Arabidopsis thaliana: one gene and its partner. The protein of the gene in region 1 binds, or shares a complex with, the protein of each later gene. Each region holds a gene or a part of one and is shown on either strand. Other genes may lie near its edges. A codon is read from its position in the direction of its gene.

Region 1 (4,896 bases):
AGCTAAAACCACAACTTTTTATCGTGTTTACTTGTAAGATTATATGTAATTCAATTTTATATATTGGACTAACCACCTACTCAAATATTCCAAATAAACTTTTTTTATTAAAAATGCACTATGATGTTGTTTTATACACATAACGCGTCTTCAAAGTTTCTATAAATGCATGCATAAATATCACGTCTTACGCAATTAATTGATCTTAATATTATTACACGGCATGTCGAGATCTCTTTGTTTTCACTTAATACCACAAATGTTCCAATTAGGAAACTTCAGTACACAGTTTTATTTGATCATCCACTGTTTTTCACAGAATTAATTGATCTTAGTATTACACGGCAATGTCTAGAAGATCTCTTTGTTTTCTCTTAATACCACAAATGTTCCAATTAGGACAATTCAGTACACAGTTTTATTTGATCATCCACTGTTTTTCACATACAGATCAGGATTTTTTTTACCAACTATATGAAGTATTACTTTATAATATAAATGAATTAAATCAAGGAAAAATATAAGCAAGTCATATTTTCTTTAAGCATTTCGATATAGAACTAATCCACACTTCGTCGATGAACTAATGACTAAACAACGGACATTTGTTTATTTCTTAAAGAATTTTGCTAAGTTGCTAATACAAAAATTACAAACTTGGATACTTTCACAGAGGCACTCGCAGTAATATCTAACTCCAAATGTATATCAAACTTTAATTTAGACACAATCAAAGAAAAATGAAAAACAAGTTTCAAGTTTCAGCCTAAGAGACACTCGATCAACGATGCTTAAGTCAGGACAACGTAATATCTTTCACCTCTCTTTTTTTGTTGATATTAAACACTTCCAAAGAACTGTTCTATTGACTGCGAGGTGAACACATTTGGAGCTGTTCGCTCGGGTTTCACCGTAGCGACATGAAGCTGATATTTGATGAACCTCTGCAAATAAGAGGGGAATGAGTTAAACTAAAAGCTAAGGTAAGAATGTAAATGAGTAAACAAGGAAATGACTTTACAGCTAGTTGTGTGCTGATTTCCGGGTTTGTATCAATATGCCAGTCAGGTTCTAGCTGTCTGACAAAGGAAGTTCTTCCTATCTCTGTACTACAAAAGAGCACCTGCAATTTCATGTTTACAGAATTGTGATTCTTACATTTTCTCGAAACATACACAGCAATATCGAAAGTCATGCTTTGATACGATTATTGGAAGGCTTTCTAAGACCGCTAACGAGTGCAAGATTTTGTAGAAGAAAGCTTGATTTGAATACCTTATCTTTGACTAAACCACCAGATGTAAAAACTCCTGCATTCTCTAAAGCCTGTAAAACTTTGGCCTGCAAATTAGAGCTCAAAATGTGAGTTTCAGAAACTACTGACAATAAGCATATAGTAACACCAATGAACTCGATTCCTCTAATAATGTAAAGATATGTGCTTAAGAATCCTTCTAATTACACATTATTCATCGACCAACTATTATCGATATGAATATCCATGTAATGTTATGACCTACTGCCCGAGTATTTAAGCTAACCATGTTCAATAATAACCACAACTAATTTACTCTGTCCTACTAGAGACTAGTTCCAACACGAAGGCAAACAAAAGAACACGAATGAGAGAGAAAAACAAATGCTCACCTCGCTTTCATCGTCAAGAACTCTTTCCATAAGATACAAATCACTATACTTTGTAATCTCTAGTAGAACTTCCAAAACAGATGACCTCACTGTGGCTTGTTTCTGCATAAAATCACTCGTCTCAGATACAAACGCATCACACACTATATAAATAAAATCTCAAAACGAAAATATCATTACTTGGAGTTCTTCTGGACTTGTTTCCTCAAGAATTACTCCAAGAAGACGGCATGTTACCTACAAATGCATATTAGACAACTCAATAATAAAACCAACGCTTCAATAAGGTGCCTAACATGACCAAACACTATCCATAGCTCTGAGAATATTAATACTGATATAAAATTACCTTCCTTCCTTCACTAAGCTTCTGTCTAACTATTTGCCCCAAAGTAGGCTGCAAAAATACAGAACAAAGTGAATAATACTCTATAACACAAAATTTCAAACTGTTTAGAGAAAAAGAATGTTACTTTAACAGGTTGAAAGAACTGATCAACAACATCTTGCACCGCATTATCCTCACGAGGCGAAGAAACTTCCGGAGCAACCGAAGAAGCTAGATTCGACTGAGAAGCAGCAGCAGCAGCACTAGACGTTTCAGCATTGTGAATCCTACGCTTCGGCTGCCTTCTCTGACGTTGCTCTCCGGGCGTTCTTATCGCCCTCCACGTAAATATCACCGCAATCGCAAGCCCCGCAATCGCACCAATTGATCTTGAATCCTAAATCACAACAACATCAATAGCAAAAACAAATCAACTTACATAACAATAATAACTCAAAAGTTTCGATCTTTCTAATCCCAAATCACCTAAAATCACTCAAATTTGAGCTGAATCATAACATTAAGTAATTAGTTTCATCAATTTGAAGATCAATTTGTCAAAAATTGGATTCACTTCCCACCAACGAAAAACCACAATTCACACCAGATCCGATACAGAAACGTTGTAAATAGAGAGAGAGATCGAGAAAGGAACCAGATTTCGAATCGATGTAGTGGAGAAAAGGCTTGACATTTTGAAAGCAACGTAAGCGCTTAAACGCTTAATCAACCGAACGATCTCTTCAGTAGGCGACGGCGACGACGATTCCGCCATTAATTTCACCTTTCCTTCAAAGCCAATTTCAAATACGTCGTCGGTTTAAACACGAACGTCCAGATTCTTAGCTTCAGCTTTCAGATATGGGGCACTGTTCTCGAGCCTCCTCCCTGAACTAAGAGAGAAAAGAGGAATTTTACTTTTCCATTAGAACACAACTAGGCAAAGTCAATTTGTTTGGACACGTGTCTTGTTAAACACGTGGTGGTGGATGAGCGTGTGAGACCATTGTTTTTTATCATAGGGTGCGATGGATCTGATCTGTACGAAACGGTGCGTTTTGCTCTTATGTAAAGGAAATTTTACACGATAAACCGAAGACGATTGGAGGAGTAAGAAAACTAGGAAACTAGAATTGGATTTTGGTTTGTTGTTGTTGGATACTTAAGTCATCATGGAGTATCATTTTACAGTGAAAAGAAGAAAATAGAGAGATGAACCTGAAGAACAAAACAACATGTGCAAAATGTAGGAAAAAATAGCTTATATCATTTAGTTGAAATCTACAAACTATTTAACTTAACAGATTTACATTGTAAAATCTCTAGTATACATAGTTTGAGATTTCAATTATTTTTCTCTAGCAAAAATTTGAGATAATTTCTTCAAAATATAAATAAAATTTCGATAGTTAGTGCGTAAACTTTTTCTGTCAACCAAACGCGTTCAGTTAAAAGTTATATTAAAAAAATTCATATACATATATCAAACATATAAAGATGATAAAGTAGATGCTGGAGAGAGACTTTCTTGCATTGGTTGAATATCTTTGAGGGAAGAAACGGCGTCGTTTAGTTGCATCTCTTTTTCGAGGTGAAAGCAATAGCTCTCGAAAACTCTAAAACTCACAGTAACTCTAAAGTCAAGAAGAAAGAGAAGCTCCAACTCCATTTTGTTCAAGTCTGCATTGCTTACGCCTCCAACCCGAGCATAGAACTCGTTGTTGTAGTGCCTGTGAATATGAAATTTGTTAGAAAAAACGAAAACCTCTCTTATCTCATCCAATACATGTTGAAACCTTGAAATCAATAACTTAAAAGGGGCACTTAACATACATATAGGTACAAAGTTTGTCCTCATTTTATATTGGTTAGATATAAAATGTATCTTTCATTTTGTTAATCAATTAAGATACAACTATGATCTATAGTTTCATGATTAGTCTAATTTCAAGATATTATAGAAATTCAAGAAAGGCTTACTTACACGTCATCTAGTATCTTGGCAGCAATCATGACACAAGTGACGAGGAGTCTATGAACATTCAAGGAGACAACCAAAGAACCAGGATGCTTATGAGCCAACCGGTCTATGTACACATACCCAACAACGAAACATGCCGGGCTACATTTTGTGTACTTATATATCCTCTCAAGGTATTTAGCTATACTTATGCTCGGCGCTCTCACGCCGTGAAACGCCTCCAAGCTCTTCCCAAATCCCTTAGTTTGCTTAGCTAACCACTCGTTTCGTGCCACGAGCTTCTCCATCACATGGGAGATTATAGTCAGCACTCTTGGAGTGGCTGCTTCCGTTGCCGATTCTGGTCCCACGACCGGGTCCAGTTCATCGTCTCCGGCTGCGGTTAACATGGGTTCTCTTCAGTTTTCGTTAATGGGCCATGTTGTATAGTTCGTTTTGGGTATATATGGCTTGTAGATTGGGTGGTTGAGATACGATGAGCTTAAGATGTTACGTGGGGATGTTATCATGTTTCGTCTGACTTTGGACGAGTGTGAGATGGTTTTGACACGTGTCACTTCGCGAGAAGATAGGATTCCGATGATTTTTGTATACCTTGAGCAATGAAATTAGTTATCATTTATCAAACAAATAACTTTATTTTCCACTTAATTTTCTGCATATTACTAGCATTATTACCCAAAATTAAGTTTCCGGGTCTTGGTCCATAATTTTCTCGTCCGGTACAATTTCCTTTGAAAAGTCTCACAGTACACAAATTTTACTACATACGCTGGAATATATTCTTGATGTAAATACTATATATAGATGTAAATTAATGTTAGATACATTATTTGAAAAAAGGCATACGCGTTGCCGGTCACTGCATACATGTTTAATGTTTTGATAAGGAGAGTTTATGCATAGGTCATATAATGTTATGTGGCCATTTTTTCTTATC
Region 2 (3,836 bases), on another chromosome or scaffold:
GAGGATTATAATTAATTCCTTTGCTTTTTTTCTTCTTCTATGGTTCCAGAAGCAAGGATTGATCTCGGAAAGAACATAATCGACAAAGAACTAGTCGAGAAGGTGTGGAACAGAATAGCTCCTGGCCTAGCTTCGAAGTTTGATTCACCGTACTCATTACCAGTGATTGCTCCACGGCCTCTTTACATCCTTAACGGTGAGCACAATCAATATATATGTATGATCTCACTAACTACCAACAAACTTACAAGTTTTCTCGGATTTCATATGCAGGCGCAAATGATCCTCGATGTCCTCTTGGCGGACTAGAACTTGCGTTAAAGAGAGCTGAAAAGGCGTATAAGGAAACAGCTTCTCCTGGAAACTTCAAGGTAAATCACTGATCTAACCTTTAAACACTATTGCAACCAGATAGAGAATTGAAAAAGAAAAACTTTTGATGTTTCGAGAGAGCAGTTCAAAGCAGAAGATGGAGTTGGACACGAAGCGACGAGTTTCATGATCAAAGAATCATCAGACTGGTTTGACAAATTCCTTAAACAAGAAGATATGACAACTTGACAGATTGTAATATTGTGAACTAATAAAGAAGAATCATCTTCTTCTCGTTAATAATGTATTCACTCTCGCAAATCAATATCATTACAAATTTCAAAAAAAAAAACAAAAAAAAAGCAAGAGGATCATCATCATCATCATCCTTTCTTAGGCATAGCGGCGAGGCGTGTATACATTTGTGCCATTGAATTGAACCCTCTCACATCACCAGATCTTAGAAGATTCCCTTTTTTCCATAGCAACCACAACAAAAGCGTCAGTAGAAAAAAAAAACAGTTGCTTACTATAAAAACTAGGCATGGGCATAATAATCAAACTGAAAGAACCGAATCCGAACTGAAGCAACCCGAATCCGACCCGAAATGGTAAACTACTCAAATAGATCCTAAATTCTAGAACCAAAGTAATTAGAACTGAACCCGAACCGAACCAAAATATTTTGCGTATCCGAAATATGATTATATATCCAAAGATATTAGTTATTTTTAGTTTGAATAATCAAAAATACCCAAATAAGGAAAAATATATAAAAACACCAAAATATCCGGAAAAAAAGACAAAAAATATCTGAAATATTCGAAATAAAATATTCTAATGGATCCTAAACTTCAGAACCGAACCCGAACCTGAACCGAACTGAAACTGTTTCGGTTCCTATATGGATCCTAAAATCGAGAACAGAAAGAATCGGAACCGAACTAGAACCGAACGGGAACCAAACCGAATACCCGAACGCCCATGGTTACATTTTTGAAAACACTAAACTAGCATTTTGTACCTGAGTCGCAGTTAAGAGGACTGTCCGGCTCAGGATGAGCCATCAATGCTATGATAGCTCTACACACAGACTGAAGCGTCCAAGCAGGACTCCAAGCATTCTTCAAAATGTCGAGACATATTTCTCCTGTCTACAAAATTCCCAAGTACTAACTAAAAAACCTGCGTTTCCTTTTATCACAGGAGAAGGTTGTTATAAAAAGAGATGCAAACCTTGAAATGAACATTAGGATGGAATATCTTGGTCAAGAATCGAACTTGAGGAGGTTGCAAAGGATAAGGTTCAGGAACAGAAAAAGCAAGCTGAAAAACACCGCCTTCGTAAGGAGTCTCCGAAGGTCCTTTGATAAGAGCGGTCCATTTGAATATGTTGGTATCGTCACAGATCAATTGAATATCAGGATCTGCTACTTTCTCTCGCTGTACCTCTTTGTATTCTTTAAACAGTCGCGCTCTTGATGCCTATTACATCAATCAAATCAAATCAAATCATAAACATACACAGAGAATTTGCAACAAAACAAAAAAAAAATTAAGCAATTTACCTGCATCTCTAATTTCCCAAAGAGAACGAATTGTCAACTGCAAAAAGATCAATCTAAAATCAAGAAGAAATAAACCCTAATTTCTTGTAATTCACAGACGCAATTATCAGATCCCGTAACAATCTCAATGATTAGGTGAAAAGTGTTTTATACAAGAACAGTGATAATTAGGGTTAAGCAATGACTCTGCTTTAAGATCTAGAAAGAAAGACATAGGAGGGATGCGAAACTATAATTGAACATAAAGAGGACGAATCAACGAAGCTTTACCTGCAAATATGAGAGCGAGAGAGAGAGAGAGAGAGAGAGAGAGAGAGAATAGCGATGATTATGTGAAGTTTTTTTTTTCCGAACCATAGAAAGTTTTATTAAAATGACTTTATAAAAAAACATAACCGGATGATAGAACCGGTGGTAATAAGGAAACGAAACCGGATGATAGAACCGGTGGTAATAAGGAAACCCTAGGCGGTGGTAGTGAGTTAAGAGCTAACATTGTTGCGGCCGCTAAGAATTGATCCGGCGAGAATGGCGAGCAGCAATGAGTATGAGGAAGGTCCGGGGGAGAGGGAGAGTGGGTACGACCCAAATATGGTGCCGGATTCGGTGAAGTCGTTCGTGTCACACATGTACAGACACATAAGGGATAAGAACGTGTACGAGATCCACCAGATGTGTGAGACATCGTTCCAGAGCATATCGGAGCGTCTGTTCAAGGACACGCCGTGGCCAAGTGTGGAAGCGATTGCTCCTTACGTAGACAACGACCATGTGTTCTGTCTTCTGTACCGTGAGATGTGGTTTCGACATTTGTATGCGAGGTTGTCTCCGACGTTGAAGCAGAGGATTGATTCTTATGACAACTATTGCAGCCTCTTTCAGGTCTGTTGTGGAATTCTTCTACTTCTTCTTCCTTGTTAGATAGAGATGTTGTTGATTTTGATTTCTTTTGTGTATGTATTGGCTGGGAATAAATACAAGTAAGTAGACCTTCTTCCGTTTGTTCTTTCTAGGTTGTGTTGCACGGCGTAGTGAATATGCAGTTGCCGAACCAGTGGTTGTGGGATATGGTGGATGAGTTTGTCTACCAGTTCCAAAGTTTCTGTCAATTCAGAGCAAAGCTCAAGAACAAAACAGAGGAGGAGATTGCATTGCTCAGACAGCACGATAAGGCCTGGAATGTCTATGGCGTGCTCAACTTCTTGCAAGCACTTGTGGAGAAGTCTTGTATCATCCAGATCCTTGAGCATGACAAGGATGGCCTTGAGTTCACTGAGACTGATGGCTACGATTTCAGCGGTGGCAGCAACGTCTTGAAGGTCCTCGGTTACTTCAGCATGGTCGGTCTCTTGCGTGTTCACTGCCTCCTCGGTGACTACCACACTGCTCTCAAATGGTTGCAGCCCATTGACATCACTCAGCCAGGTGTTTACACCAGTGTCATTGGTTGCCATATCGCTACTATCTACCACTATGGATTTGCCACCCTTATGTTGCGGAGGTATGTCGATGCTGTTCGTGAGTTCAACAAGATTCTCCTCTACATTTTCAAGACTAAGCAGTACCATCAAAAGTCACCTCAGTACGAGCAATTACTCAAGAAGAATGAGCAGATGTACGCTTTGCTTGCTCTCTCCCTCTCCCTCTGCCCTCAAACTAAACTCGTTGACGAGTCTGTCAACTCTCAGCTGCGAGACAAGTATGGTGAAAAGATGATGAGGATGCTGAGGTCTGACGACGAGGCCTTTGGTATTTATGATGAGCTCTTCTCTTACGCATGCCCCAAGTTTATCACCCCTTCCGCACCACCAACTTTCGAGGAACCTCTTGTCAATTACAATCAGGATGCATACAGGCTTCAGCTGAAGATGTTCCTTTACGAGGTAAAGCAGCAGCAGCTCTTGTCGGGAGTGCGGACTTTCCTGAAAGTCTACTCCTCCATTTCTCTTGCTAAGC

The links. The genes of interacting proteins can lie anywhere in the genome.
Region 2: the proteins of PEX22 (region 1) and PEX4 are in contact, whole or in part, in a crystal structure (PDB 6XOD), measured with the Arabidopsis thaliana proteins. Residues at the interface, in NP_566696.2 of Arabidopsis thaliana: Tyr182 (codon at 1,683), Val187 (codon at 1,668), Leu188 (codon at 1,665), Asp189 (codon at 1,662), Asp190 (codon at 1,659), Glu193 (codon at 1,650), Asp214 (codon at 1,281), Lys215 (codon at 1,278), Leu217 (codon at 1,120), Phe218 (codon at 1,117), Cys219 (codon at 1,114), Ser220 (codon at 1,111), Thr221 (codon at 1,108), Gly224 (codon at 1,099), Ser227 (codon at 1,090), Phe228 (codon at 1,087), Arg230 (codon at 1,081), Gln231 (codon at 1,078), Leu232 (codon at 1,075), Glu233 (codon at 1,072); in NP_001031939.1 of Arabidopsis thaliana: Phe78, Phe84, Lys85, Asn125, Asp127, Asn130, Leu131, Gly135, Asp136, Val137, Arg138, Gly139, Ser142, Met143, Met146, Tyr147, Arg149, Leu150.

The regions. Positions count from the first base shown.
Region 1 is NC_003074.8:7,700,469-7,705,364, forward strand, and holds PEX22 (peroxin 22), read right to left. Parts: upstream 3,037-4,896; 5' UTR 2,751-3,036; coding exon 2,631-2,750; intron 2,373-2,630; coding exon 2,121-2,372; intron 2,045-2,120; coding exon 1,997-2,044; intron 1,885-1,996; coding exon 1,828-1,884; intron 1,750-1,827; coding exon 1,648-1,749; intron 1,342-1,647; coding exon 1,276-1,341; intron 1,124-1,275; coding exon 1,022-1,123; intron 945-1,021; coding exon 840-944; 3' UTR 535-839; downstream 1-534. Other genes in the region: CYCP2;1 (cyclin p2;1), read right to left, coding at 3,459-3,705, 3,960-4,345. UniProt on the Arabidopsis thaliana protein: May be tethered PEX4 to the peroxisome membrane and may be involved in a late step of the matrix protein import. Does not play a role in the biogenesis of the peroxisomal membrane.
Region 2 is NC_003076.8:8,966,033-8,969,868, reverse strand, and holds PEX4 (peroxin4), read right to left. Parts: upstream 2,215-3,836; 5' UTR 2,151-2,214; exon of another isoform or gene 1,918-2,150; 5' UTR 1,887-1,917; coding exon 1,881-1,886; intron 1,798-1,880; coding exon 1,549-1,797; intron 1,467-1,548; coding exon 1,337-1,466; intron 785-1,336; coding exon 696-784; 3' UTR 562-695; downstream 1-561. Other genes in the region: AT5G25770 (alpha/beta-Hydrolases superfamily protein), read left to right, coding at 50-196, 274-371, 457-561; AT5G25757 (RNA polymerase I-associated factor PAF67), read left to right, coding at 2,409-2,762, 2,894-3,836. UniProt on the Arabidopsis thaliana protein: Required for peroxisome biogenesis. Necessary for the developmental elimination of obsolete peroxisome matrix proteins. May be involved in the ubiquitination of PEX5, targeting it for recycling.